Diceros bicornis minor: one gene and its partners. The protein of the gene in region 1 binds, or shares a complex with, the protein of each later gene. Links are inferred from orthologs where the notes say so. Each region holds a gene or a part of one and is shown in the gene's direction. Other genes may lie near its edges.

Evidence for each region.
Region 2: the proteins of NME5 (region 1) and DNAJB13 are in contact, whole or in part, in a cryo-EM structure (PDB 8WZB), measured with the Mus musculus proteins. The link is inferred for Diceros bicornis minor from reciprocal best matches to the Homo sapiens genes NME5 and DNAJB13. Residues at the interface, in NP_542368.2 of Mus musculus: Glu52, His53, Asn56, Met193, Lys199, Pro200, Lys201, Leu202, Cys203, His204, Phe205; in NP_705755.2 of Mus musculus: Thr156, Lys157, Lys158, Thr181, Ile182, Asp183, Arg185, Trp188, Arg189, Gly191, Thr192, Arg193, Ile194, Thr195, Phe196, Glu197, Pro281.
Region 3: NME5 (region 1) and LRRC23 share a complex: the UniProt entries of both Homo sapiens proteins name them as parts of the axonemal radial spoke complex. The link is inferred for Diceros bicornis minor from reciprocal best matches to the Homo sapiens genes NME5 and LRRC23.
Region 4: NME5 (region 1) and DYDC1 share a complex: the UniProt entries of both Homo sapiens proteins name them as parts of the axonemal radial spoke complex. The link is inferred for Diceros bicornis minor from reciprocal best matches to the Homo sapiens genes NME5 and DYDC1.

Annotation. Positions count from the first base shown.
Region 1 is NC_080740.1:56,757,604-56,764,961, reverse strand, and holds the start of NME5 (nucleoside diphosphate kinase homolog 5), read left to right. Parts: upstream 1-4,350; 5' UTR 4,351-4,772; coding exon 4,773-4,901; intron 4,902-7,358. Other genes in the region: bromodomain-containing protein 8-like, read left to right, coding at 841-930, 1,029-1,097, 2,734-2,911, 3,457-3,507. UniProt on the Homo sapiens protein: Functions as part of axonemal radial spoke complexes that play an important part in the motility of sperm and cilia. Does not seem to have nucleoside diphosphate kinase (NDPK) activity.
Region 2 is NC_080746.1:56,968,506-56,975,930, reverse strand, and holds the start of DNAJB13 (dnaJ homolog subfamily B member 13), read left to right. Parts: upstream 1-4,423; coding exon 4,424-4,491; intron 4,492-7,425. UniProt on the Homo sapiens protein: Functions as part of axonemal radial spoke complexes that play an important part in the motility of sperm and cilia.
Region 3 is NC_080756.1:54,855,716-54,863,483, reverse strand, and holds the start of LRRC23 (leucine-rich repeat-containing protein 23), read left to right. Parts: upstream 1-4,755; 5' UTR 4,756-4,822; coding exon 4,823-4,948; intron 4,949-5,031; coding exon 5,032-5,141; intron 5,142-5,581; coding exon 5,582-5,835; intron 5,836-6,499; coding exon 6,500-6,630; intron 6,631-7,296; coding exon 7,297-7,433; intron 7,434-7,768. UniProt on the Homo sapiens protein: Essential for sperm motility and male fertility. Plays an important role in the proper assembly of the third radial spoke (RS3) head and the bridge structure between RS2 and RS3 in the sperm flagella.
Region 4 is NC_080745.1:5,133,788-5,140,862, reverse strand, and holds the start of DYDC1 (DPY30 domain-containing protein 1), read left to right. Parts: upstream 1-4,054; 5' UTR 4,055-4,186; coding exon 4,187-4,333; intron 4,334-4,780; coding exon 4,781-4,882; intron 4,883-7,075. UniProt on the Homo sapiens protein: Functions as part of axonemal radial spoke complexes that play an important part in the motility of sperm and cilia. Plays a crucial role during acrosome biogenesis.

The DNA of each region.
Region 1 (7,358 bases):
TGCATCATGAAAATGAATAGTTATGTGGAGTTGCTCAAATTGGATAAAAATAAAATGAGATGTGAGTTGTGCTCAAATGAACACACACAATATGGTACATAAAGCGGAATGAGGGTGTGAAACGTTAGGTGTGAAGAGAACTCATTTAGAGAGCATAATGCAGTGTATAAAGTGGGAATATATAGTGTGTAAAGTATATAAACATGATGTTTAACTTTGGAGTAAACAGAAAACTTGCCAACTGGGAAAATTATAAAATGAAATAAAACATTGCATCTCCAAAGAAAAACTAAATAAATTAGCCCAGAGAAGGAAGGTCCCTGAGGAGAAATGATTTTTCTTAGGTATTTTAAAGATTACTATATAGGGGAGAGTGAAAAGGAAAAATATTTAAATCATGTAGCATTCAGATGAAACATAAGAGAATTCTTTGGAATGTGAAATCAAGTATTTCCTTCTCTGGAAATATGGGAGAAATACTTATTAATGTGGCATATTTCTGCATAAAAACAGGATCAGATTCATTTATCAGATACTTAATTGAGCACCTACTATGTGCCAAGCACTTGTGAAACATCAGTGAACAAAGATCACTTTCATGGACCAGTTCTTTAGAGTCACAGGTGCTGAAGAGCAAATCAGCAAGAGTCCAAGAGGCACAGGCATTTGTAGGTTTGTAGTATACTTTATGATGTAACCACTTCATTGGGTAGTAGTGACCAATAAGAATATTTATAGAATTAACTAGGAGTACTAGGTGTTAACTTCATTACCCACTGGGGGAGACAGAATACCATATGTGAAGTTACTGTTTCTTTTCTGTCCTGTTTCATCCCATAGGTCTGATCTAGGCCAGAGTGACCCTGTTCAGGATCACTTGCTATTTAAGAAGACTCTCCTGCCAGTCTGGAAGATGATTGCCAGCCACAGGTAGGTCTCCAAGCCATTTGTGGCATTCACAGCCACTCTTCTCATTTAGAGTGACTTTCCAGAGTTTCTTCATCCTCTTGATGTTTGTCCTTTAACAGGTTCAGCAGTCCTTTTCTGAAGCCTGTATCAGAAAGGCAGGCCCCAGGATACAAGGATGTGGTGAAAAGGTCAGTGGAAAAGTGGTCAAGAAAGGTTGGTTGTGGGCTGCCCCCATGGCTTAGCGGTTAAGTGCTCGCGCTCCGCTACTGGCGGCCCGGCTTTGGATCCCGGGCATGCACGGACGCACTGCTTGTCCGGCCATGCTGAGGCCGTGTCCCACATACAGCAACTAGAAGGATGTGCAACTATGACATACAACTATCTACTGGGGCTTTGGGGAGAAAAAGGGGGAAAAAAAATAGGAGGAGAATTGGCAATAGATGTTAGCTGAGGGCCGATCTTCCTCAGCAAAAAGAGGATTGGCATGGATGTTAGCTCAGGGCTGATCTTCTTCACAAAAAAAAAAGAAAGAAAGGTTGGTTGCTTTTATATCTGTCTTTTCATACTGTATTTCCCATCTATTAGATTATTTCCTTATTTCATTTACATTACTTACAAACTCAAGATATATTTTCCAGCCGAACAAGTTTGTAAAGTTATGGTGAGCTCAGTCTTCATTTGAGAAAGAATGCAGGGAACAAAAGGATAATATAGGCTTTTTTTTTTTCAGTGTTGACTTTTAAGTAAAATGATCCATTCATTATAATCTTACATTAACCTTTGGTAGTTTTTGACACTGTTCTTTTGGAACAAAACTTTAAAAGGAACACTGTATTTATTCAGGCAGTTATAGGTATGCTAAGGCAAAGATGGTAATCCAAATGGATGTTACAAACATTGGTTGATTGCAGTATTTTGGATTTTTATGGCGTAGTTCATCTAAAATGCTTCCGTAAACCAGTGTGTTATTAGACTATAAAAGATCAGGAAAGGACCTTTGGAGACAGACTCCTTTATTCTCTAGATGAGGAAACTAAGGCTCAGAGGTGGTCATGACTTGCCTGTGATCAATAGTGAATAGCAGAGCTTGAACTAAACCCCGGATTCTTACCTCCCAGTTTCCCAGAAAAGCCCTCTTTCTACACTGCTGTGCTTTCTCTTATATACCCACTTTCTGTATCTCATTAAATAATTATGTATCTTAATATTCACTTGATTCTCACTCTTTTCATCTCCATGAAAGAGGAAACAATTCTTAGCTTTTGATTATGAATTAAGAAAAGTAGATTAAATACCTAGTATATGACTATGCATTATAAACAATCAGTCAGTAACGACCATGTGACACAGTGATCATTGGAGGTCTTTACAACTTTGGTACCTTGGGCCAGCACTCCTCCTACAATAGTAGAGTGTAGTGGCTGGGCCTCTGGGCTCTGGAGTCAGGCTGCCTCTGAATTGAAACCCAGGCTGTGTGACTTTGGGCAAGTACTTAACCTCTTTAGATCTCAGTTTCCTCATTGCCAGTTGGAGATGATAATGGTATCTACCTTATAGGTTTATTGAGAGGATCGAGTGAATTCAATTAGAAAAGTACCTAGCATCACGCTTGGCCTCTTATACACAGTCAAATGTTAGCTGCTGTTGCTATTTTATTATCTTATGGGGATTCTTATCTTTATACTGTTTTCATTAAGAGCTGGTTAGTTCTCTCTTTATACTGTTTTCATTAAGAGCTGGCTAGTTCTCCAAGAGAATATGTTAGGTCACCACATGTTCCACATGAAGGTTTGATTTCCTCTGGTTTCTCTTCGCCACCTGTAGACCCATGGACTTAACCAGCCTGAAGAGGAATCTGTCTAAGGGACGGATTCGCACCATGGCTCAGTTTCAGAGGGACCTGATGCTGATGTTCCAAAATGCTGTGATGTACAATGACTCTGATCATCATGTGTACCATATGGCTGTGGAGATGCAGCGAGAAGTTTTGGAGCAGATTCAGGTACTGTATGTAGAGAGCTGCAAGAAAAAGGAGAGTAGCCTCTGGAATCTGATTTTAGGAGGTCTGTGAGAATAAGAGTGATGTTGAAGTGGCCTTGTGTTCCCAGAGTTTATGTTTAGAGGTGATTCAAGGCCCTGAAGGATTGACCTTGTACTTGCTGGAAAACCCTGAGCCTCTGCAGGACCAGCTTTAATCAATAGTGAAGTAAAGTAGTCTAGGAAAGCAGGCAGCAGTGAAGAGCTCTCAAGAGAGCTAGGGATAGATAAGTAACGGGAGCTCCTGCTTCCAGAGCTTCAAGTCGGAGGGCTAAACATGCAAACTAGAGGCTGGAGTCACTGTCTGTTTTTTGGTTGCTATACCTGTTGATATTAATGTATGTTCATACTGTCTCATCTATAGGGGATAAGACATGGTAGCCAGAAGAAGGCATTTGAGGGTTTCTTTTCTGGGCAGCATCATACTTGAAAGAAACATAGTCAAATCTCTTTGCAGAAAAATAAAATTGCATAAAGATTCATAGCTTGCTGTCTGCCTTGACCCTGTAGGTGCTGAGTATTTGGTTAGACAAAAGAAGAGACTTAAATAGTCTGGAATGAGAACCAGCCAACTCCATGGATGATGAAAAACCTGTTTTATTAACCTGGAGCTGCTACCCTGAGCTTTTCTGGAATTCGGACCTCTCATTGAGACTCTGACCCACAGAGGCTCCCAGTACTTGTTTACCACTTTTCAGTTGTCTTTTCTAATAAGAATAATGCCTTAACTCACAATCATGGAGTCAAAGGTGCCTGTGTTCATAATATATAGAAAATGGGGAAAGCTGAGATTTGGGGTTGTGCCATAAATGTTGCCCACATCTTTGTTCCATAGGTTTAATTTAGAGGTAACTAGATTAAACCTCTTATTACTGTTCTATAAATAAATGTTATTTCACAAGTCAAAGATTGCTTCTTAATGATTACAGAAGATCGGAATAGAGGGGACAGTATCATCTGGTGAAATGAGTAAGGTATTTGACCTGGGTTTTCTTCCATACACTGTCTGGAAGGGGATGGGGTAGGATGAGGGGATAGTGTCTGTAAGTTGCCTCACCATTTGTAAAATGCAGATAATTGAAGTGTCCTTCAAATGTCTAGGAGGATGAAATAAGATAAATTATGAGAAAAATGTTAGAAAATGTCTAGTGCTCTAAGATTTGCACGGGGGATAAAAACGCCTGTGGCTGGCTCCCTGTCTTGGTTGTAAGGAACCGGCCAGAGCCTGTGAAACACTCTGCTGGGATTGGCCCTGTGCAGCCACCGTACCTAAGCAGGGCTTCGGGTCTCCTAGCAACCAGTTGTGGTGGCACCGGAGGAGCAAGTGGTAAGGTGAGTCCCCAGACAAGGGTCGGACTTGGAATCTGCGGGTGCAGCCCAGAGACGCCCAGGGGACGTAGAGATTCTGCTTTCCAAGCAGCCCTGACCCTACTGCTGGGCGGGCGGGGCTGTGTCCGGCTGGGTTGGGCGGAGTAGGACAGGCTGCCGCTCACCTGCTGCTGGAATGCAGGAGGAGTTGCCGACTTAGTCTGTTGTTGCTGCCCTGAGAGTCTACGCTAGTCCCAGGCCCTCGGATTGTCCCTTGACCTCTCCACCTCGAAAGCGCTTAGGAAAACCCAAGGCACGACTTGGACGCGAAGTAGAAATCGTATTCCTGAGACACCGTTTATAGAAAAAGATACGCAATTTCTAACTTTATAAATTAATAAAAGCAAGCACCTAATGCTGTTCTTAATCACAATTACATTAAATTTGGGGTGGGGAATGCATGTCATTGCAGTTGACACCTGTCAAGAATCTCTTAAATTGTATCCTGAAAAGCCAGGATGGAGATATCAATGCCCCCACCGCAGATATATGTAGAAAAAACTCTGGCCATTATCAAACCAGATATTATTGACAAAGAGGAGGAGATACAAGATATTATTCTCAGATCTGGATTCACCATTGTTCAGGTAACTTCTGGGCACATGATCATGTTTTTTCCTCTCTTTGCTCCTTTTTTTTATGTTTATGTAAATATGTTAACCCATTTAGATCCTCAGTATTTAGCATTAAACTTAGGTTTATTCTTCTAGGTATGAAAGTTATATGTGATAATTTAAAAAAAATTTTTCACACTTCAAAAGGATATAAAATGAGAAGTAAAATTCCTTTTCCTTTCACCTATTCTCTCCCACACCAGGTCCCAGTCTCCAGAGAGACAACCACTTAACACTTTCTGTTCTTCCAGGATTTTTCTATGCATTTACAAACATTTTTTCTCCCGTTAAATAGGACAGTCCTTCTCCCTTAATCCCATTTACAAAGTCCCTCAGACAGCATTCCAGATCATTACATCTGAATCTGTCTCATTCTTCCTAACTTCTGTGTAATATTCCCCTTTGTGGATGAACCACATTTTATTTACTTAGTCCTCTATAGGTGCACTTTTAGACTGTTGGTATTTTTTTCAGTTATTACAAACATTTAATGTTTTAAGCCTTGTTCTGTGGTTGGTAGAGATTTGAAAATGAATCTAAAAAGTGTTGTTAAAGATTATCAAATAGAATAGAATTTTTTTTTTTAAAGATTTTATTTATTTATTTATTTTCCCCCCAAAGCCCCAGTAGATAGTTGTATGTCAGCTGCATATCCTTCTAGTTGCTGTATGTGGGACACGGCCTCAGTGTGGCCGGAGAAGCGGTGCGTCGGTGCGCGCCCGGGATCCGAACCCGGGCCGCCAGCAGTGGAGCGCGCACCCAACCGCTAAGCCACCGGGCCGGCCCAGAATTGAATAGTTTTAATCTTCCTTTTTTGTACTATCCTTTTTTGAAATTATAGTTTTTTATTCTCTTATATTTGTACAGTGTCTTATTGCCTATTTAGTCAGTGTTTTAAAAAATAAGAGAACACTTCAATTTTCAGGAAAGATGGAATTTCGGTTGAACTTAGAAGGGTAGGTGGAGGCTGAGGGTAGGGATGGTACAAGAAAGAGTAAGAAAATAGTACAGGAAAGTATAAGGAAATGTTTAATTAAAAGACTCGGGTAAAGATGAACTTTTTAATAAATGTTGTTAGAAAAACTGGGTACCCATTTAAAAAATAGTTGGATTCAAGTATTATACTATATACACAGGATAAACTCCAAATGGATCTGAGATTTATGTATTAAAAAATTAAACCATATAAATTCTAGAAGAAAAGGTGGATGAATTTCTTTTTATTCTTGGAGTGGGACAGCCTTTTTAACTATGACTTAAAGTCTAGGAGCCATAAAAGAAAAGATTGATAAGACTGTAAACATGAAAAACTTCTGCATGGCTAAATAAACATCATAGCAAAGTCAAAACACAAATGACAAACTTGGAAAAAAGATTTCCAACTCGTATCACAGAGAAAGGACTAATCTCCCTAACATTTAAAGAGCTCCTAGAGAAAGGTAAAAATTCAGTTGAAAATGGGCAGAACATGTGGATGGTCACAGAAAAAAAATGAATGCTTCTTTAATATATGAAAAGATGCTCAATCTCGAAGCAGGAAAAAAGCAAATTAAAATGACACTGAGATACCATCTGGCAAAAATATAAAAGTAAATGGCACAACTCCTATGGAAGGGAATCTGGTAATTATCTATCAATATTACAGATGCATTTACCCTTTGACGCGTCGGTCCTACTTCTAGGAATTCCTGCTATAACCCATGTATTAATATGAAATGACATATATACAAGTTGTGTTTTGCAGCATTGTTTACTTAGCACCAAAAGATTGAATTAGATTATTTAGCACCAGCATTAGAAGATTGGTTAAATAAACCCTGATGAATCCACCAAATTGAATACTATACAACTAATGGTAAAAGGAAGAATAAGGAAGTTCTCTGTGTCCTGTTATGGGAAAAAAGCAAGATGCAAAACAATGTGTAGCAATTGTGATATCTCTTTTGTGATAGAGAAAAAGTAATATATATTTATGTTTGCCAATATTTGCAAAATGAAACACTAGGAGATAAATATTAAAAAATGGTTGCCTATTGAGGACAAGAAAGAACAGGGTGGCTTAGCACAGGGATGGGAATGAGATTTTTCAGTATATACCTTTTTGTATTGCTTTGAATTTTTTAACCTTGTAAGTATATTACCCATTAATTTTAGGAAAAAAAATGAAATATACAAATAAGATAAAGATATCCCATTAAATTTTTTAAAAGTCCATATTTTAAAAGAATTAGTGGGGCCGGCCCCGTGGCTTAGTGGTTAAGTGCGCGCGCTCCGCTGCTGGCGGCCCGGGTTCGGGTCCCGGGCGCACACCGACGCACCGCTTCTCCGGCCATGCTGAGGCCGCGTCCCACATACAGCAACTAGAAGGGTGTGCAACTATGACATACAACTATCTGCTGGGGCTTTGGAGAAAAAAAAGGAGGAGGATTA
Region 2 (7,425 bases), on another chromosome or scaffold:
CATTCTGATGTTTCTGTGAAGGTGTTTTTTGGATGAGATTAACATTTAAATCAGTGGACTTGGAGTAGAGCAGATTACCCTCCATGACGTGAGTGGGCCTCATTCAGTCAGTTGAAGGTGCTAATAGAAGACGACTGACCTCCTCCAAGCAAGAAGGAATTCTGTCAGAGGACGGCCTTTGGACTTGAACTGCAACTCTTCCCTGGGTCTCCAGCCTACAGGCCTACTCTGCAGATTTTGGACACTTCAAGCCTCCATAATTGCATGAGCCAATTCCTTAAAATAAATCTCTCTCTTTATATATACACACACATCCTGTTGACTCTGTTTCTCTGGAGAAACCTGAGCAATAGCACCATTGTATGGATCTGCCACAGTTTTTTAATCCATTCATCGGTTGGTGGACATCTGGATTGTTTCCACTTTTTAGCTATTATGAATAATGCTGCTACGAACATTCATGTACAAGTTTTTGTGTGAACATAGGTCTGCAGTTCTATATGTCTTAACAGTGGGACTGCTTGGTCAGATGGTTACTCTATGCTTAATGTTTTGAGAGACTGCCAACTGTTTTCCAAAGTGGCTGCACCACTTTACATTCTCAGCAGCAGTGTATAAGGGTTCTGATTTCTTCATGTCCTTGCCAACACTTGTTTTTGTCTATCTTTTTTGTTATAGTCAGGTGATGTTAAATTGATAAAATGATGTCTACCAGATTTCTCCACAGCAAAGTTAAGTTTTTTGTGGGGAGCTACTTTGAAACTGTATAAAATATACTATTCCTCATAGAACTTCCACCAACTAGTTTTAGCATTCTTGGATGATTTATCTCTGAATCAGTTATTCCTATGATAATTGCCAAATGGTGATTTTCTAATTCCATCCTTTTTACATTTATAATTGGCATTCTACTATGTGGTGGAACTTTCTCTTCTCCATGTATGTATTCATTCATTCCTTCATTTATCATAGATATATTAGTATGAACTACTCATGAATTCATATTTTATTCTATGGATCATAATCCATTATTACTACTATTTGTTTTGATGTTTAAATTGTCCCAGTTGGGCCAGTAGGAGCTCCTTCAAGCTAGATCCTATGCCCTTTTGACATGTTTCCATCATTCTTTGAGCACTTCCGTATTTTCTGGTACAACAAGATATTCAAGCTCATCTTATACTTTCCCACCCCGGCCCTGGAAACAGTCATTTGTCCAAATAGCCCTGGTTCCTTTTAGTGGAGAATGGTATTCAGAAACCAAGATCTGGGTACTACTAGTAAGCTTTTTACTGCTGGGGTATTATTGCTTCTAGGCCCTATCAGTGGACGGTACACACGTACATCTGTATTTCTACATCCATCATTCTATGTATATTAAAAATCTTGAGTTCACACCAATGTCTGCAATTCCAATCCAACTCGACAGGGTTTATTATAGCCTTCTACATACATACCTCCTTTCTCCAACAGTGAGAAACTTGGCTCTCCTAATTCTCAGTATACTTTCACTTATTTGCTCAATACCTCTGTGATTAACCAATCTGCCAACCACACAGGCCGTCTCCTCCCCTTTCACCTCAGCCCCTGCCCACATGGTGCCCTCAGAGTCTCCCTCTGCCCCTCCATTCACCTCAGTCAGTCCCAGGCTGAGCATGGCCTTCCCCCAACCCTATGGGTTTAATTTTTAGTAACTTTTTTTTCTGGTAATAAGAGTAAAACAAATGGCCAGTACACATGAAAAGATGTTCAATTTCAGTAGTTAAATAAAATCCACAAGAAAGTTCAGAAATGCAAAAAATAAAAAGAGTAATTCCACATTTTCATTTTACAACCAGGCAACTGTGGCTAAGAAATAGTTGTTTAAGGTCATAAAACTAGTAGCTAATGGACAGGATTTGCAACTTGATCTCTGACTCTACTGCCTCAGTGCTGGGGGAGCATCTTGTATGTGATATGTGCTTTTATATAATTGCATTTAATATTTTCACACCAACCCTGTGGTGGAGTTCATGTTGATAATCCCATTTACTCAAGGAAACTTAGACTTGGGGCCATTAAGTAAACTTGCCTCAGGTCACACAGATGGCATGTGAGCACAGCAGGATCAAGACAGGGTCACTTTCTGACCACTCAACTCACCCAAAACCTGCACTTTACTTCCTAGCTCTTTCATTGATTTCTCTGTCTTTTGGCCCAACTCCTAAAGTGTGTTTTACCTCCTCCAAATATACCTAAAGTAGACCTTTTGCCTCAAATACTATGAAAGAGCTACTTTAAGGCAGGACCTCTCTGTAACTGTGGTTTCAGAGGACCCAGGAAAGTTCTTACATATCTCAGTCACTGGTATCTGAAACACCATCAGGGGACATCAAGAACTAGTGAGGATGTGGAGCAAAAAGGAACTCAGACACACTGCTGTTCTGCCCGTGTAAATTAGAATAACCGCATCAGGAAACTGACATTACCTCGCAAAGTTGACACACATACCCAAATATCCAGCATCAACAGAGAGTGCTATACAGCCTCCGTGAAAATAAGACACACACACACAGACATGTCATTTGCATAAATGACACCATTTATATAAAGTTAAAAAACATTGAAAAGCAGGGGGCCGGCCCCGTGGCTTAGCAGTTAAGTACGCACGCTCTGCTACTGGCGGCCTGGGGTTCAGATCCCAGGGAGCACCGCCGCTCCGCTTCTCCGGCCATGCTGAGGTGGCGTCCCACATACAGCAACTAGAAGGATGTGCAACTATGACATACAACTGTCTACTGGGGCTTTGGGGAGAAAAAGGGAAAATAAATAGATAAATAAATAAATAAAAACATTGAAAAGTAAATGTGTTGTTAGGGATACATGCAGTGGTGTGCTGGAGCTGGCTTGTACCAGCATGGGAGAAATTGGCAAATGCTACAAATCAGGGCTATTTTTTCCTTCTGGTGACCTACTTGTTAAATATTTACTAGTACACCACCGGATACATGCACAGTAGTAAAACAATAAAGAAAAGCAAGAGAAAAATAAACAGGTGGGGAGGGGCACACAGAGGCAACATTCCTTCAATAAGCAATGTTCTAATGCTGCTCTTTTGTACATATAAGCTACTTTATAAGAAAAAAAAAAAAACAAGTAGGAGTTAGCTTGGTTGAAGCCAGGGTTGGTGGTGGGTATGCTGGGGAGAGTCTGAGCAGAGGTGGCAGCACAGGTGAATGTGAGACAGATAATGGTTAGTCTGGGCGTTGTAAGTGCTGTAGTGCCTTAACTCTGGGCAGTGTGGTGTATGGTCTTGGCAGGGTAGAGAGGAGGCAGGCGGGACAGTGAGGATGTTGTAGTGGCCTTGCTGAAAGATGAAAGCCAAAGCAAGGCCATGGCAGAGGAGGGGCTTGAGAGGCATCTAGGAGGTAAAATGGACTGAGTTTGGTGACTGACTGGATGTGGGATGAGTGGATAACAGGGCGCTGCTGCCCCCAAGGAGATGGAGAAGAACTCCCCACTCTTTAAGGGTGGGCTGCAAAATGACTTCCTTCCAAAGAGGACAATCCAGAAAGGGGGAAACGAAAGTAACCCGACAGTGGAGAAACACTACTGCAGCAGGCGATCAAGGTCAACATCAGCAGTGATGAGTCATGTTGATAGTATGTACCTTTGATCTGACAGAACGAGCACGGCACTTCACCTCTGTGGTCTTCCTTCCCAAACTCCACAACCCCAGTCTAAACATAAGAAAAACATCGAACACATCCCAGCTGAGAGACATTCTACTAGATGCCTGATCGGTACTCCTTAAATCATTGATGTCATCAAAAACAAGGAAAATTTGAGAAACAGTTGTAGCCAAGAGGAGCCTAAGGAGACATGACAGCTAAATATAATGTGGTGTCCTGGATGGGATCCTGGAACAGAAAAAAGACATTAGGTTAAAAACTAGGAAATCTGGATAAAGTATTGGACTTCCACTATAAATGATGTCTCAATACTGGTAATTGTGACAAATGTACGATACTCATGTAAGATGTTAATAATAGGGGAAACTGGGTCTGGCGTGTGTGGGAACTTTGTGTATCTTTACAACTTTTCTGAAAATCTAAAGCTGTTCTAAAATAAAAATTTATTTAAAAAAAACAGCCAAATGCATTTGTTCTGAAAACTTTTAATTAAAAGTAATTGCTACTCTCCCTGAACACTCTCTGGTTTCTGAGTCAGTGACATTTATCAGGCTCACAGAATCAGCCCTGGTTCTCCCAATCTTTTTGTTTGCTCTTTTATGAGGCTGAGCTGAGAAGGCAGTTTGCTTAGGCAGGAAGGACTACAACTCCCAGAGTGCCCCTGTACGGTTGTCAGGAGCAACCAAGGAATGCAGACTAACAGCCCTGCTGGAGTCAGGACTAGCCACTGCCTGCCTGCCTGCCTGCCAGCCATGGGCCGGGATTATTACTCTGTGCTCCAGATCTCTAGAAATTCAGAGGATGCCCAGATCAAGAAGGCGTAAGTTGGGGGGTCGGAGAGCGAGGCTTTATGGGTGTGCTGGGGCAGGCCCCACCCCCCTCTCTTCCAAGCTGAGCTTTCCTGCACAGCGTAGCACGGTTCCTTCTCTTGCTTCTTGCACACCTATATCCTGGCTTCGGGTGGGGTCTGAGTTCCCAATCCATCATCCTTTACCCTTTATGCCTGGGTGTCCTGGTTTTCCAAGCAATAAAATAGGGACAAAGGAGACATTTGAACCTCGTCTTGGATATCGTGGAGAACCAAAGGATTGTGAACAAGAGAGTGACTTGGCCGGATGGATGTGTTACAAATTTGATTCTGGTCGTCACGTGGAGTTTTAGTGTTAAATAAACTGCATCTCTGAATACTTCCATCAAATCTTGGGGACTTGGTGGTCCATTTCTAAGAAAGTCTAGGACAGGAGTCAGCACATTTTTCTGAAAAAAAGCCTTTTTGATAAATATTTATTGAGCACCTACCATATAGACTAGGTGCAATGGGTAGCAGCTGGAGATATAATTGTGAATCAGACAGACATGCAACTTAATTTTGTTGGTGAATACAGATGTTAGATAAGTTACAAAAAGTGTGACGAGTGTTACAAAAGGGGAAGTACAGGGTGCCATTGAAGCTTATATAGGAAGGAGAGAGACCCCTTTAGAGGTCTTCTCAAGCCTCAAGCAGGGCAGTGGGCTGGAGAGAGGAGAGAGAATGGACTTGGCTATCACTTAAGGTTGGGTGGTGATAATTTATTGAATTGTGCAGATGATGTTCTGAGAACCTCCCGTCGTTACTTCATTTAATCCTCTCAACAACCCTGAGTGGTAGGTGCCATGATTATCCCAAAGCCATGAGCCTAGTAAACAGCAGAGCCGGTAATCAGACACCATGTCTACTATAATTGCCCCCCATGGGCCAGGTCCTGTAGGAGATCTGAGTGGGGTGAGTAGAGAGAGTCTGCAGTGTGGTCGGAGAAACAAGACACAAACTCATGAAACAAGTAGAGAACAATTCAGGACAGTGTGTGATGTCACCCACTGTTCAAGCATCTATTGGCCAGTGGGACCTGTCTAGGGAAAGGTCATGAGGAGGGAGGGCAGTTGGAATGCAGAAAGATAAGCCCAACTTAAACATTGAAAGGACTCATGTCTGGATCCAAGTTCTACCTGCTAGCTGTGTGACCTGGGCAAATTACTTAACCTCTCTGCGCCTCAGTTTTCCCATCTCTGAAAAAAAAAATAGTGAGTTGTTGTGGTATTGAAATGGGATTATATGAGATAATAAACATGAAATTGCCCAGCAATCATTGGCATCTGAAACGATGTCATATAAAGACTGATTAAAAGAACTGCATATGTTTCAAACAACAGTCCTTAATCCTTCTTCCCTGCAACAACTCTTAAGGGGTGAGTCACATGTATAAATAACACACCCTCCCAGGGGGTACCTAGATTTTTTTTGACCCCCTCCCCCAAAAAGCTAAACTTATAATGAAGAGGAGCACCACAATGATTCATAATCGCCCAGCGATTAACCTTCTCTGTGTCACTCATTCATTCGAGGCCGCCACATCCCAGCTGTGACCCCACCCCCTCTCTCCCACTCAGGAAGGCAGGTGAATGAGAGTGATGTTTCTGTGGGGATAATCTTGAAACCACTCCAGTTTATATGAAAAACTGAACTCTTCTCAAACCTCGTTACTTTTACTCACTGATAGAATTTACTTGCATTCTATCAGTATCATTACTGACCGCGACCTTTGTAATTGAGAAGGGCTGGTTTAGAGGTCTCAGGGAAGTCGTAACAATTGTCTTCAAATCTCGGAGGGTGGACAGAGCAGATTCTCTCTGTAAGGGCTCCAAGGGCCCAGCCAGGACCCTCATGGATGGAGGCAGACTCGCAGGACAGCAGACCCAGCTCAGTAAGAGGAAGTATTGCCTAAAAGGGCTGCCCCACAGTGAGATGGGCTGCCTTGTGGGACAGTGAGTTCATGTCATTCATTCACTCACTGCTGCTCTGTGCTAGGCACCGGGGGCACAGAGAACTAGACACAGCAACTCAAGGGACTCACAGGCTAGTGGGAGAGACAGACCAGTCAACAAACCACTGGAGCACCTGGTGCTAAGTGCCGGGATCGAAGGCACTGGGGATGTGGGAAGAGGACTCTAACCTGGAACGGAGGCTGCAGTCAGGGAAGGCATCCTGGAGGAGCTGACCCTTGAGCTGATTGTTGAAGGATGAATAAAAATTTGCCAGGAGGAGATGGGAGGGGCTGGAGCAGGGTGAGCCTTACAGAGCAGAACGTCAAAGTCTGAGCAATGCAGTGTGGGGAGTTTGGAGCATGGAGAGAAGGACAGGAGAGGTCATGGGAGCAGGGAGGGAGAGCTGTGAGGGAGAAGGCCAGAGAGAGAAGCAGGGGCTTGAATCTTTCTTAGAGACATTTGGATTTTATGCTGAAGACAAAGGGGGAACCAGTGAAGGATTTAGGCAGGAGGGGGACTTGGTTAGGGAGCATCTTAGAAGCATCAAGTTAACAAAAGGGAGAGAGATCAAACCAGCGGCAGCACACAGAATAGACTGGAGAGGGGGAAACTGCAACAGGAGGACCTGGTTCTGTTGTAGGGAGGAAGGGGCAGGAGCAGAGCATTAGTTCCGCTTTGGTGACTGATGGGACGGGGGTGGAGGGGACAAAGGGCAACGTGGAGGCCAAGATAATGCTCAGCTGTGCTGCTGCAGTGTCTGGACAAATGGGGGCAAATGAGGGAATGAAAACGTGTTCATGTTTGGGCTCACTGAGTTTGTAGGGCGTGTGGGCCATTGAGGAGGAGATACCAAGTAGGCAGCTGGATACAGAAGTCCGGAGTTCAGCGAAGTGGCCTGGTTTGAGATAGAGATTTGGGAGTAATCAGCAAGTAGGTCATACTCAAAGCTGTG
Region 3 (7,768 bases), on another chromosome or scaffold:
TTTGTAATAAATTTTTCAAGTGAAAATAGTTTCCTTCTAGGTATTTGCTTATATTTTATTTCAGGTTCCTAGCAAAATGCCTGTTACAGAGTAGGAACTCAATATATATAGTTGAATAAATGAATCAATATATTATTAATACTATAAATATTTTAGAATGAAATCTCCATGTGGCAAAGAATCACATCCTCCTTTGGAATCCATTCATAGCAGCATAGAATTCAGTATTTTGATACTAAGAGTATTATTTTTATATTGATACTCATTGCGTATATAACCAAGAGAAATGAAAATACACGGCCACACAAAAATTTGTACGTGAATGTTCACAGCAGAATTATTCATAATAGCCAAAAATTGAAACAACCCAAATGTGCACCAACTGATGAATGAAGAAATAAAATGAAATGTGGTGTAAACCATACAACAGAATATTATTCAGCAATTAAAAGGTATGAAGTACTGATACGTGCTACAACATGAATGAACCTTGAAAACACAATGCTAAGTGAAAGAAGCCAGTCACAAAAGACCATGTTGTATGATTTCATTTATATAAAATGTACAAAATAGGCAAATCTATAGAGACAGAAAGTAGATTAGTGGTTGCCAAGGGCAGGGGTGGATGGGGGGATTGGGACGGGATGGCTAAGGGGTACAGAGTTTCTTTTTGGGGTAATGAAAATGTTCTAAAATTGATCGTGGTGATGGTTACACAAGTTTGAGTATACTAAAAGCCATTGAATTGTACATTTTAAATGGGTGAATTTTATAGTATGTAAATTATATGTTAACAAAACTGTTTAAAAACAGTTCTGTTAGTAAGAAAGAAGGCAAGAATGAATATCAGCTAGGCAACCGGCAGTTTCTGCACAGTTAATATCCAAATCATAAAGAGCTTCTACAAATCAATAAAAAAAATTAATGACTTAGCAGGAACATGAAAAAAGATATGAAAAAGCATTTCGTAAAATAAATACAAACAAATACAAATACATGGACATATAAAAAGAAACAACCTTACAAACAATCAAAAAATGCAAATTAAAATAATAATGACACACCTATTTTTCAACCTATTAAGATTGGCAAAGTATAAGTACATACCCTTTGAACAAGAAATTGCACCTCCTAAGAATGTATCCCACACAGCCATGTTACTAAAAGTGTGGTCCATGGATCAGAGCACTGGCATCACTTGAGGGGTCAGAATCTACATTTTAATGAGATCCTCAGGCAATTCCTATGCACATTAAAATTTGAGAAGTACTGCTACATGTATAAGTATGCATGCAGCAGAGTCAAGGTTTATCTATGAGGATTTTTATTGCAGCATTGTTTATAATGTTGACAATTTTTTTTAAAAGTTAATATTCATCAATGGGGAACAGTTAAAAAATTACCATGTATCCACATAATGAAAGACTAGACAACTATCGAAAAGAGATAGATCTATGACTAATGATATGAAAGATGTCCAAGACATATTATTAAATGAAAATAATCCAGTTGGTGAACAGTATGTATGATTGATACCATTTTTGTTTTTTAAAAATTTATATATTTATTAATAAATGAGGGGCCGGCCCAGTGGCGCAAGTGGTTAAGTGCACACGCTCTTCTTCGGCAGCCCAGGGTTTGTGGGTTCGGATCCTGGGCGCGCACTGACACACCACTTGTGAAGCCATGCTGTGGTGGCGTCCCATATAAAGTAGAGGAAGATGGGCACGGATGTCAGCCCAGAGCCAATCTTCCTCAGCAAAAAGAGGAGGATTGGCTTGGATGTTAGCTCAGGGCTGATCTTCCTCACAAAAAAAAGAAAAAAATAAATAAATAAATGAGAGTGGTGCTGAGGGAGATCATGGCTTTTATGTTCCTCTATATACATTTCTCTATTATTTGCACTTTTATTTTAATTAAATATTATTTTTATAGTAGAAGGAGATTCTATTTAGACCAGCCACTGGAGGAAGGATGTCATCCAAGAGGAGAACATGAAGTATTTAGCTCTCATTCCATGGTGTCAAGGAAACACAAAATAAAATCTCCGATGGCTCCTCACAGCTTTCAGGATGAAGTCCAGATTCCTTAGTGTAATCCAGGTCTGTCTGCTGTTCCTACCTCATCCCCGAGTGCACCTACTGTTCCAGCCAGCAGAGCCACTTGCCTTCCTTGCACAGGCATTGAGTTCTTTCTGCTCCAGGTCTTGCCAAAGGTGCTTCCTCTGTCTGGAATCTCTGCCCTGAATATATGATATCATGTATACACATGTACTATCAAATTATCCCCTGGCACTTAATTAAAGCTCTATAAGTGTTGGGTATCATTATTATAACCTCTGTCTCATTATATTGAATTACTTGTTTACTTAACCCTGTCACTGGACTGTAAGCCCCCTGAAGACAGGAACCCTGTTTTAATGTCCTTGAGTACAGCCTGACACAGAGTAAGTGCTTAACGAAAGTATGCTAACTGATACATCCCTAATCCTTATGTCACATCTTTTCTTCCCACCTAATGTGTCTTTCTCTTTCTTCTGGGCCAAGGAAAATCACATTCTTTCCCTTGACTACAGCAAACCGGGAGGATTTTTCCTTTCTGTGCACTCCAACAATACAATTACTCTTATTTGCATAGCACTTCTAACCCTTCAAAGTGCTTTCATATATACCCTTTCTTATTCCTCACAACAACCCAGTACTGAGGAAACAGGCAAGGGGTGGGGAGGAGGCAGGGAGATGTCTGCTGAGGGTCAACTGTGTGCAAGGCAATTTACCCACATTGTCTCTTTTAACCTTAACAATCCTTTAAGGTGGACATTTTTATCCCCATTTCACAAATGTGAAAATTAAACCTTGTAAAATGATATAACCTGCTGAGAAACACACAGCTGTTAAATGGTAGAGTGGGTTTGAACCTGGTGTCTCTAACCTGGTGTCTGCTAGTTCCATGACATCAAGTGAACAGATTTGTCTATTAACTATATTAGCCAAGCTGGACAGGGCAGGAGGTAATATTTCCTGATTTCTAGCCCCCGTCTTCCGTCAGACCGCTTTGCATGTTACATAAAGTCTATAAGGCACGCTTTAACAATCACATGATATCTTGCCTTGTTGCCTAATTGTTTTATTTATATTAGATTCTACAAGATTGGTAATATCCTCCTTTCCCCAGGCAGGAATTGTGTCATAAATATTAACCTCCCTGAGCCTTAGTTTCCTCGTCTTTCAAATATCTATCATACAGGACTGGTGTGGAGATTAAATATCACTTGCAAAGGCATCTTACACAATGTCTGGTGCAAACTCTCCAGAAATATTTGTCACATCTCAACCTTTCTCTCTTTCATTGCCTTCAACAAGTCACGCAGGCCTGAGTGCCTGGGTGTGGCTGTATCCATTCTTGTTGATTATTTATATAACAACGTTGGATGAGGACTATTTTGGTGGGCACAGGTTGGATTTTCTCCCTTACTATCCCCCAAAAGGTTTGCATCAAACCATTCCAGGGTGTGAGGAGGAGTGAAATGCGCCCAAACTGGGTTTAGCCGTCTACACGTACTTCAGCATGGATTAGACGCATACTCGATCCCTGTCGGTATAGTTAAGCCTATTTTACAGATGAGAAAAAGGAGGCTTAGGTAAACTGCTAGTAAACTGCAGATCTGCTAAGACTCCAGCCCAGGTCTCAAGATACTCTGGTCATGGGCTCCTTCCACTCCACCAAGCCACCTGCCAAAGGTGGCTGAAAATAACTAACGGGTGGGACCTATGCGGGGGTGGAGTGGGGTGGTGGTGGAACCAGACCACTTACCTTGGTATTTCTTGCTCCTCTTTCCCCCTTTTTGCTTCAGGGGATGAGCTTCTTTTGAATTCACAGTACTTTTGCATTGAGGGTGTCCAGTCCCTTTCAGGTCTCAGGTGACGTAATTGCTAGCCCCGCCTCCTCTCGCTGCACTGTTCTAAGCCCCGCCCATTATTTTATGCCCTGTGCCAATTATTGCGCCTCATCCGGGTTCCTGGGATTGGGAACTCGGGCTCGTAACCAGGCAACTACTGATCCACCGGCTCCGGGGCGGATTTTCAGCTCAGTTCTTCGCGGCTCTTCTCTCAACCGGCGCCGCTGCGGAAGCCAAGTGCCCCGCCCCACCCCTGTTGCCATAACAGCAGTACACAACGCCTCCTTCCCCCTTGCTGCTCTTTCAAAACACTCTTTCCCTCTTGGGGCCAAGACCCTCTCCATAACCGCTTCTAGTTGAGCAGGACCAGGGTCTGCGCCCCTTTGCGAAGGATTGGGTGGGAGGGTTGGAGACTGCGTCAGGCTGGTGTCCCAGAGGAGATGGGAAATGGGGCTAAGCAGGGTGGGCGAGTTAGAGGAAATGAGTGGAGCAGGGGTTAAGGATGCAAGGGGAGGGGAGTGTAGGGATCGGTAGGAGAGATTGAAGGAGAACGTGGTTTAAGGAGGAGGTGGGAAGAACTGAGGAGAGAAGAGTCCAGGAAGCAGGGAGACCACGGAGCTGCTAGAGGCGAGTTGGAGCCACTGTGAAGGGCAGGAAAAGTCTCAGGGGTCTGGGGAGGCATCCTGAAAGGAGAAGGCTCCTTGGTGGGAAGTATGAAGTGGAGGTTGGGAGTCAAAAAGAGATGTTCACAGGGATGAGGAAAGAAGCATAGTCAGGAGGAGGTCAGGGGTGATGGGGTGATGGGAGGGGTACCTGGTCAACCAAGGTGAGGGAGCTGAGGAATGGAAGACGCTGAGGAGACTTTCTTTCTCAGGACGAGGACCTTGCTTGATCTGATTCCAGAGCCTTCAGCAAGGAAGAAAGATGTCAGATGAAGATGATCTGGAAGCCTTTGAGCCAGACGAGGATGATCTGGAAAAGGAAGACGATGAGAAGGAGACAGAGGAGTGGGAGGACTACAGGAAAGAGGGAGAAGACTTCACTGAGGAAGTGAGCGCATAGAAACAGGGGTCCTAGGGCTAAGGGATGGGGTTGGGCTGGAAAGGGATGCCTGACTCCATTTCCTCCTGCAGTGGATGCCCACTCCCCTCACGGAGGACATGATGGAGGAAGGGCTTTCTCTGCTGTGTAAGACAGGCAATGGACTGGCTCATGCTTATGTCAAGCTGGAGCTTAAAGAGAGGTGTGTTTATGGGGGACCAGAAGAGGACTGAGGTTGTAGAGCCCGGTCTCCTTTCTCACTCTCATTTCTGGGTGTTTCAGCTGAGGGTTTGGATCTCGCTCCTCCCGGGCCAGTGGGGACAGAAGGATAGAATTTACTTTTCAGGAGCCCTGTGACTTGCTGTGTCAGAACTGGCCTGGGAATTGGAGGCTGTGAGGGTATGTTGGGGGATTCCTACTGGACTCCCACACTTGTCCTTTGGAGTGTTGGTTCTCAGCCCTTCACAGACACAAGGTCCCTGTCTATTGTTAGGAACCCACCTACCTTCCCCTCCTCACTCCTCCCATCTGTCACCTATTCTTCTCCCTGTTATAAGCCATCTCCTTATTGCCTCTGCTTTAGCATCCCTGCCAGTCCTTGCTGGATTTTTAACCCTAACCCTGGCCTCTGCCATCTCCTAGAGATCTGACAGACATCTACTTGCTGCGTTCCTACATCCATGTGCGCTATGTGGATGTTTCTGAGAACCACCTGACAGACTTGTCCCCACTCAATTACCTCACCCACCTGCTCTGGCTCAAGGCTGATGGCAACCGGCTGCGGAGTGCCCGGCTGAACGAGCTGCCCTACCTGCAGATTGCCAGTTTTGCCTATAACCAGATCACTGACACTGAGGGCATCTCTCATCCTCGTCTCAGCAGCCTGGATCTCAAAGGTGGGCCTTAGGATGGCTACACAAGATTCGTTCCTTCCTAGCCTGGGGCCAACAGAAGTGGGCAGTGTGGTCCTTGGCTTTGCCACATAGCAATCTGCACTCATTCATTCATTCATTCAGAGATTCATTATAATTCATTATGACAGTTCTATGTGCTGGAGATAGAACAGTGAACAAAACAAAGAAAATCCCCATTCTCATGTAGCTTACATTCTAGTCAGGGGAGACAGACAATTATTGATGAACACAATAAATAAGTAAATTATATAGTATGTTAAAAGGAGATATATGCTTTGGAAAAAATAGATCAGGGTAAAGGGAATTGGGGGGCACAGGTGGCAATTTCAAACAGGTTGGTCAGGACAAGCATCATTGAGAAGCTGACATTTGAGCAAAGACTTGACAGAGGAAAGGGAGGTAGCCATGTGGATTACTGGTCACTCTTCACTCACTCCTCAAAGGCTTAGGGGGAGGTGTCCATCAGCCCCTTGGACTACCAGACCACTTGCCCCAGGGCCCCGAAAGTGTTAAGTCTGGAGCTGTCCCTCCTCATATCCACCTGGCATTAGAGGGAGAGGATGATGCAGAGTCTCCCAAAGTTCAGGCTGTACTGCTGAACATTCGGAGTGGCGCTTTGAGCTCTTGACACCCTCCTGCTCCTCAGGAAACCGCATCCACATGGTGACAGGTCTGGACCCTCAAAAGCTGATCAGCCTGCACACACTGGAGCTTCGGGGGAACCAGTTGGACAGCACCCTGGGAATCAACCTTCCTAAGCTGAAGAACCTCTTCCTGGTAGCTCACAGGGTCAGAAGGTGGTTGGTGCAGGAAAGAGGGCACTGTCCTGGGGGCCAGGATGCCTGGCTTCTAGTAGCTCAGCTACTAACCTCATCATCATAGTGATAATTGGTATCATTTGTTGAGCCCTTACCTGGTGCCAGGTGCTGTAGGGATGCAAAGTTAAAACATACAATGTGCTTACCACCTAGCAGGGCTGATAATACATAAGGTGTGGACAATGCGGAAACGGCTTGCTTTGATACAGGTAGCAGCATAATGTGCCATAACTGAGGTACAGACCTCAGGCTGAGGAGGCCACTTAAATGTTTAGTCTTTTAGACTCCTGAGCTTCTTCATTCCTGAATGGTGCTGAAGCCATTTCTCCTCAACAGAGCAGTGGGGGCTCTTGGGCCCGGGGGTAGGTTGAAGCATCTCCTCCATAATCAGATGTGGCTTTGGGGGGATGAGCAGTAGGGGGTTACTGCTGACCACTCTCTGAGCTGGAAGCTTCTCCTGGACTTCTTTACTCTCTACACCAATCTCTACCCACCTTGCTCCCCTCCTGCACCGCTCCCTCCCTAGTTCTTAGATTTCCTCTTTTGCTGCATCTCTTTCTGACTTCTCTTCCTTCCATATCCAGGCCCCCCTTTCCTAATCTATCTCCTGTATCCTGGAGTCTAGGCCCAGAACATGCTGAAGAAGGTGGAAGGCTTGGAGAACCTTACCAATCTCACTACCTTGCATCTTCGAGACAACCAGATTGAAACTCTGAGTGGCTTCTCCAAGGAAATGAAATCACTGCAGTACCTCAACCTGAGGTATGCACCCCCTCCAGGCCCCACCTTGCCCCTACCCTGACCAGGAGAAGCTTTTGACCCTGTGTTCCTCCCTGCCCCCAATCCCTCAGTCCACGCCCACTCCTAGATCCTCATCCTCCATCCTGATCCTCCCTCTTCCTTTCTTTTACATTCAGTTCTAATTGCAACACTAAGACCTTTACACCTGCGACTCCTGAATCCTTATTCATTCACTCCACAGTTATGGAGGATGTGCTATGTATCAGGCCTGGTGCTGTGTTTTGGGAACATTTAAAGGAATCAGAGATGGTCCCAGTTCTCAAGGGACTCACAGTCTGGCTCCAACTCTCTGTTCT
Region 4 (7,075 bases), on another chromosome or scaffold:
CCGCTCCACTCCCAGTCCTTGGGCGGCTGCCACACTGTGTAGGTGTCACAAACCCTTCCTGGAAAAAGCATCTGCTCTAAATTGCATATTTCCAACAATGGCCTCCATGAAATATGCTGACCTAACAATTACTTAGAGGATGCAAAGACAGTAGAGCCAGAATAACAGAGCCACAACCTGAGGCCTGGAGAGGGAGGGGGCAAAGGGATGCCTTTTACAGCCACTCCCCACAAACTCAGGGCACATTCACAAGGGGAAGGGGCTATTTTTTGGAGTTTCCCAGACCTCCTCTGAAGGTCTGCTTACACTGGTCCTCCTTGTTCACAGGCTCGCACTCAGTAAGTAGGGCAATAAGCACGGTGATTGTCTTTGTCCACACCATATTCCAAGTGCCAGGCAGACCTAGGTGATCCATAAATATTCCTGATGTAATCAGAGGAGACTCTGCCGCTCGTGAGCAGAGGCAAGAGCTCCTGCTCCTTTCCGCCTGTCTGTGCCCACTCTGGCACTCACCACCTCAACCAATGTCTAGCTAGGCTTCTCCTGCCCCGCAATGCCCGGCACATAAATTAAAACAGAACATGGGAGAGCCCCCCCCCCCCCCCCCCCCCCCCCCCCCCCCCCCCGTGGCTTAGCGGTTAAGCGCGCTAGCTCGGCTGCTGGCGGTCTGGGGTTCAGATCCCAGGTGTACAACAACACACCACTTCTCTGGCCATGCTGAGGCCACGTCCCACATACAGCAACTAGAAGGATGTGCAGCTATGACATACAACTATCTGGGGGGGGGCGGGGGGCCCACCTGAGTTGGTTCTAAAAGGAACCAAGCAGAGGTCGCCAGCAAGTGCAAAGGTGCTGAGTAGTGAAAATACCGGGCCATCGGGCACTCGGGGCAGTCTCCTCCGCCCCTGGCTGTGAGGGTGTCCCGCCCTTCACCGACTGTAGCTCTTTGACGTTGCTCCCAAGAGCCAGCTGCCCCTTTATCCTTCCCAGTGCGCACTGGCCTAACCATCCCATCAATTCCTCTTTTCCGTTGCCCCCTCCTCACAGCCTCTAGGCTGCATGTCTCTGCTCACCCACCCTCTTGCTCCCTCCTCTCTGTCGCGACCCCTCCTCGCTGAGGCGCGTTCTCCCCTCGGCCCCCTCCGCTCATCCACCCACGTGCCCCCTCCTCTCTGGGGGCACGTTCTCTCCTCGGCTCCCTCCTCGGCGCCCTCCGCTCACCCGCCCGCGCGCCCTCTCCTCTCTGGGGGCATCTCTGGCACCCGAGGTGCGCGTGCTCGTTGCCTAGCGACGGGACGCGGCTCGCGGGAGGAGGGCGCGTGCGCGCGTCGGGCGTGGCCTCCTGAACGCAGGCGCGGGTTGGGAAGAAGGGTTCCTAGCGCTCGGCCGGGCTCTGGCGGCGCAGGCCGGTTTGGCCGTTGGACCTGGTGAGTGGTGTGGCGCTCGGGCGACGTTCCGGAGCCGGCCGCGGTCAGTTCAGCGCCGGAGGCTCCGCGGGCGCGTCGGCGGTTCCTCTTCCTCCTCCTCGGGGGCGAGCGGCGCAGCGCCTGCTGGAGGGCCGGACCTCCTTCCGCGGACCCGAGATGGGAAAAGGAAGCTGAGCGTCCCGAATCGAGGGTTGCCGGATAAAATACGGGACGCCCAGTTAAATTTGAGTTTCAGATAAGTAAGGAATAACTTTGTAGTACAAGTATAGTATAATATAGATCATTCGTTATTTATCTGAAATTCAAGTTTAACTGGGCGTCGTGTATTTTTATTTGCTAAATCTGGCAACCCTACCCAGATCCTCTCCTTTCCCACTCGGCTGGCCAGCTTTCTCCCAAGAATGGGCCAGGGACGTCTCTTTCTTGTGACAGCTTCTCCAGGCTTGTTTCTGTGAGAAGAGGCTTACTGATGTTGAGCCAAGATGCCTGTTGGTGTGTATGACGGATAACATTCCTTACAACAATCTTGTGAGATGGGTATTATTACCATTTCATGGACAGGAAACATGCCAGGTGAGATAAGGAGCCTCCCCGGGATCCCGCTGATAATGGGATGCAGCGTCTGAGACGGACCCTGGATGGGGCCCTACTCCTGGGCCAGAGGTTCCCCTTTCCTCTGTATTATCCCCTTGCTATGTGTTATCTTTCTGGAGCAGCAGGAGGCTATTCATTTTTTACGTTACTCCGCTTCTAATGACACTGAGATGTCAGTGTAGTTATTTTTGTCTTTAGAGCATATCCCAGTGAAGAAGTACAGTGAAGATAACTGTGTTGCAAACTCAGTTGTAATAATTCTTTTCTCTATGTCATTGAGACACCAATGCTAGCTTGATAGGGAATTAGGTTCATTTGTGCCAGCGTTCAGCTTTGAGAGTTTTTATGACTACATTTATGTGTACACACGTAGACATTGCTTTCCCCGCTGCTGTTGCTATCACGGAAGATGGCATCCTATGTACAGTTTCTGCACCTTGCTTTTTCCACTTCACACTATATCCTAGAGATCACCCCCTGTGTTAGAGATTCTCCTCATTCTCATTATTATATATCCGTGCAATAATCCATTGTGTTGCTGTATTTCATCAGTCCCCTAATGATGAACATTGGGATGGGGTTCCATTTTAGTTTTTCTAAACAATGGTGCAAAATAACCATTTGCATATATCACTTCATATTTTTTCAAGATAGGAGCCCAGAAATGAGATTGATGGGTCAAAGGGTAAATCATATGTAATTTTCTAGATATTGTCAAATTTCCCTCCAAAGGAGTTATGTCATGTTGTACTCTCACCACCATTGTATGAGAGAGAGCAGTATTGGGGTCTATGGATGAACCTCAGGAGGTCATTGTTTCTGAACTTTTATGCAGAATGTTAGGTGCATTTGTCCAGGGACAGGTCTGGACACACTGGCATTGTATCCCCAATAATTGCTCATGCCTGACATACAGTAGGTACTCATTATATATTTGTTAATGATTGTATTTCATCGGAGTCTGGATTCCATAAGGGTAATTTGAGGGTGATCAGTTTTTTAAACCTGAGATATAGTGGTTGCTACATTTCTTTTTTAAAAAAGTCTGGTCTAAGATTATTCTTGTCCATCTTCATAACTGAATAGACTGGGACATTACTGGGAGAGTGGAGGAACTCTCTCACTTGCCACCATAAAGAGCCAGCTGTGTCAGCCTTGTGATTAAAACCCTCCTTGAGGGGCTAGAGGAGCTTGTCTTCTAGTGGGAGGACAGACGTGCGTACAGACGGTGCTCAGGTAGTGTGACAAGGGCTGTGTGAGCTGCTTGGGGAAGGAGGAACTTTTTTATGTTGCCTGAGAAAGCTCAGGGAATGAGAGATGATCTACATCTTGCAGGTGAGGAGATATTTGCCAACTTGAGAGATTGTGAGGGATCATCATGTGCAAAAGTCGTGGAGATGCAAATGTGCGAGGTGTGGTCAGCAGAATGGCAGAATTTTCAGGATTTTCCGTGTAATTAGAGCCCAGGATATGCTGGGGGCTGAAGAGATGCCTGGAGCTGAGCCTGGACAGAAAACTGGAGCCAGAGTGTGAGGGGCTTTAGGTGCTGTTCTTGGAAGGTTGAATTTTTTTTGTTCTTTGGCCTTGCAGATTCAAGGACTTTTTTTTTTTTTTTTTGAGGTGGACTATTGTGACATTTTCTAAAAATGACTCTCCTGACTTGGGTGGAGCATCTTAGTACAGTCATTAAGTTCATGACTCTGGAATCAGGAGTTGCATGTGAATCCTGCCTCCACCGTGTGCCACCTGTGTGATCGTGGACTGTTCACCTGTGCTCTTTGTGCTGGGCTTCCTCACCTGCACAGAGGGATGATGACACCCATATTTCAGGTGTGTTGTGAGGCATTGTTGAGACAGGCATTGCTTGGCATATGGTCATCTTGCAATCAATAATGACAGTATTCTTTTTTTGACTCCTGGACTTGAGGGCCCATCAGGATTTGGAAACTGTTTTAGTTGTAGTGACTTCTGTGGAGCCTTTTTGGAAACCGTTAGAAGTTTCCTGGGGCCGTCGTGCTTGTACCATCCCTGATTGGAGGTGCCCCTGACTGGTGACAGGATGTAATGCTTTGTTGGCCTCACCGGACTCTACTTTTATTGTGCCTTAATTGAAAATGTTCTGCATTAATTCACAAACATTTATCTTTAAAAGTTAGGAGTTAGAAATGGAGTCGATATATCTTCAGAAGTACGTGGGGACGTGTCTAACTCAAGGTCTTGCAGAAGTGGCAAGAATTCGCCCTGTGGATCCAATAGAATATTTAGCATTGTGGATTTGCAAGTATAAGGAAAACGTGGCCATGGAGCAACTGGTAAGTATAGATCTTCTTTTAGAAAATTAGAAGAGTAAAATAATTGGTTCGGTTTGTCTGCTTTTTAAAAAAGGTCAATATTGTTATTTCTTTCTGTTATAAAAATACTATGTTTATTATACAAAAACTTGGACAAGATGAAAAAGTAGAAGAAGGAAACAATACCGAAAGAAGACCTCTATTTAGATTTTTAGGTATTTTCTTCTACTCTATTTTCTACACATCTGTCTATAGATATTTTTACATAGTTGTGATCATATTCAATGTATAATTTTAATTTTGTGCTCTTTATTTGAATAAAACATGCATTTCCCCAAATTATTATACAATTTCCAAATGGATAGACTATAATTTACTTATCCCTTTCCCTATTGTTGATAATTAAAATGCTTTCAAAATTATTTTGTCTCGAATTAGTCACGTGATATTGTTTCTAAACAATGCTAGAGACAAAAGGAAATGGCCGACTTGGAGCGTGAAAGAGAACTAGCTCTGAGGGAGCAGGAAATGATGGAGAGGCTCAGAGCAGAGGAGCTCATGTTTCAGCAGGTGAGACAAGTAACAGAGTTCAGAGGTGACTGGAATTAACAGTGTCAACCTCTGTTTGGTGTAACCCAAGTGCTGAAAAACTCCCCATCTCTGGTTATTTAGTGTATGGCTTTCTTATATCTTCATCTCTATGTATGTCTTCTTTGCTGGAAAAGCAGCAGCAGTGAGGTAGGAGGAAACCAAGGAGTGTGCCCTCGTGGAAGCCAAGGGGAGAGAGCGTCTCAGTGAGACCTTGGTGGTGAACCATGTCTATTGCTGGTTGAGTGAGAGCAGGACTGCACAGTACCCATTCAAGGCCACTGGTGACCTTGGCCAGTGTGGGTGGGGGGCGTACAGCAGGGGAGATGGTGAGTATAGATAATGCTTTCAAGGAGATTTTTAGGGAAGAAGTTTTTTTTTTTTTTTTTTTTTTTTAGGAACAGAGTGGAAGTGGAGAGGGAGTTGATGTTAAGAAATAGAGGGGATGATTTCTAGAGTCAGCTGTCCATGGAGGCAAAGCTACATTGAGTCTGGAACATAGGTTAGGCAGGTAGAAGGGAATTTCTTGATTCAAGGAAAGAGGAGAGGATGGTGTAGGTACATGTGGGTTATAGGTTTTGTGGCACAAAGTTGAAAGCAGTTTTCTGTGTGACTGTTCTTTATGAAGTAAGGACCATGATCACCTTCCAAGAATGAGGTGGTAGTGTAGGAGGTGTGGGGAGAGTGGTGAAGGTATGAAGTGGTAGCTTTGGAGCATGACAGAGAGAGTTGGCCAGGGAACCTTAGCATTACTTGGTAGCAATGAGTACCCTGATATGGTTGGAGACCAAGCATTTAAAATGTTGCCATTTGGTTTGGCTTTGTGATGATGTGATTTTTCTCCACTTAGGCCTAGATATCTGCGTGAAGATGTGGAAGAGGCAGACCCTTGACTGAAGTAGGTTTAGGGTAGCAGGACTGGGGAGCTGAATGTGTTGGTAAGAGTGGTTGAAGGGCTAGGTCATGGAGTATAAACTAGATAGAGGAAAGTTCCAGAGTGGCTTCTGCACTAATCTAATTTATGGAGAGCTTCTGAACTAAATGTAAGTCACCCCTCTAGTTCTACCATGTACTTAACTCTAGAGTCTCGACTCAAGTCTACATAGTTAAAAAGGGAAAGAAGCCTATTAGGCACCTTAGGTGGATGTGGCTGTTGAAAACTTGACTGCTTCTGAGTCTTCATTGTTCAGTCATTTGGCTTCTTCTTGTGGGAAGTTGCAAAGTGTGGAGTTGGATGTCAGTCATCTAAGTGGGCAAGTGTGTGCTGCAGTGGTCCCAACTTTGAGTGAGGAGCTGCCCTTCCTCTTGCAGCTCCTGTAGCTGGTGTGTGTCCCCCGTCTATCAGTTCTCCTTCCCCAAGACAATTACATCACAAAGGTGGAGATACTTAACTTTCTTTCACCCTTCTACTTTAACTTACTTAGATAAAATTTGACAGTACTGGAAATCACACATTTCTCTAACTGTATCATGTTGACCATATGAAGCAATCCACTGTGCATCGAACCCTAAGCATTGTATTGGGAGTGGAAGATACAATAATATTCTGCAAAAGATTTGGCCAGTAAAGAAGTGGATTGGTGGGCAGAAATAGATGAGAGAAGGAGAAGGGACATGTGGAGAGATGGACCAAGAGAGAAGAGCTTAGGAGAGAGCAAGGCTGAGATGAAGAGGAGCAGAGAGGCCTCTCCACGCCCCTGGGGTCAAGTGGGCTGGAGGTTCAGGACTCTGGCCGCCTCCCTGTTGGTTGCAAGAGCAGGTGTCCTTGTAGTCAGTACTGCTGACTTGAAGTTCCTTGACATTTTAGGCACTCTTTAGCAAGCCCTGGTCCTTGTGAACAGGCAAGTATTTTTATTGCTGTTTTCTACTTAAGAGCTTATTTATTTTTTTTTTTTGTGAGGAAGAGCGGCCCTGAGCTAACATCTGCCAATCCTCCTCTTTTTGCTGAGGAAGACCGGCTCTGGGCCAACATCCATGCCCATCCTCTTCCACTTTACATGGGACGCTGCCACAGCATGGCTTGACAAGCAGTGCGCTGGTGCGCGCCCGGGATCCAAACCAGCGACCCCTGGGCCGCCGAAGCGGAGTGCGCGCACCTAACCGCTTGTGCCACTGGGCAGGCCCCTGTGCTTATTTTTGAAGTAAAAGCTTTTTTGTTTTGTATTTGTTTGTGTA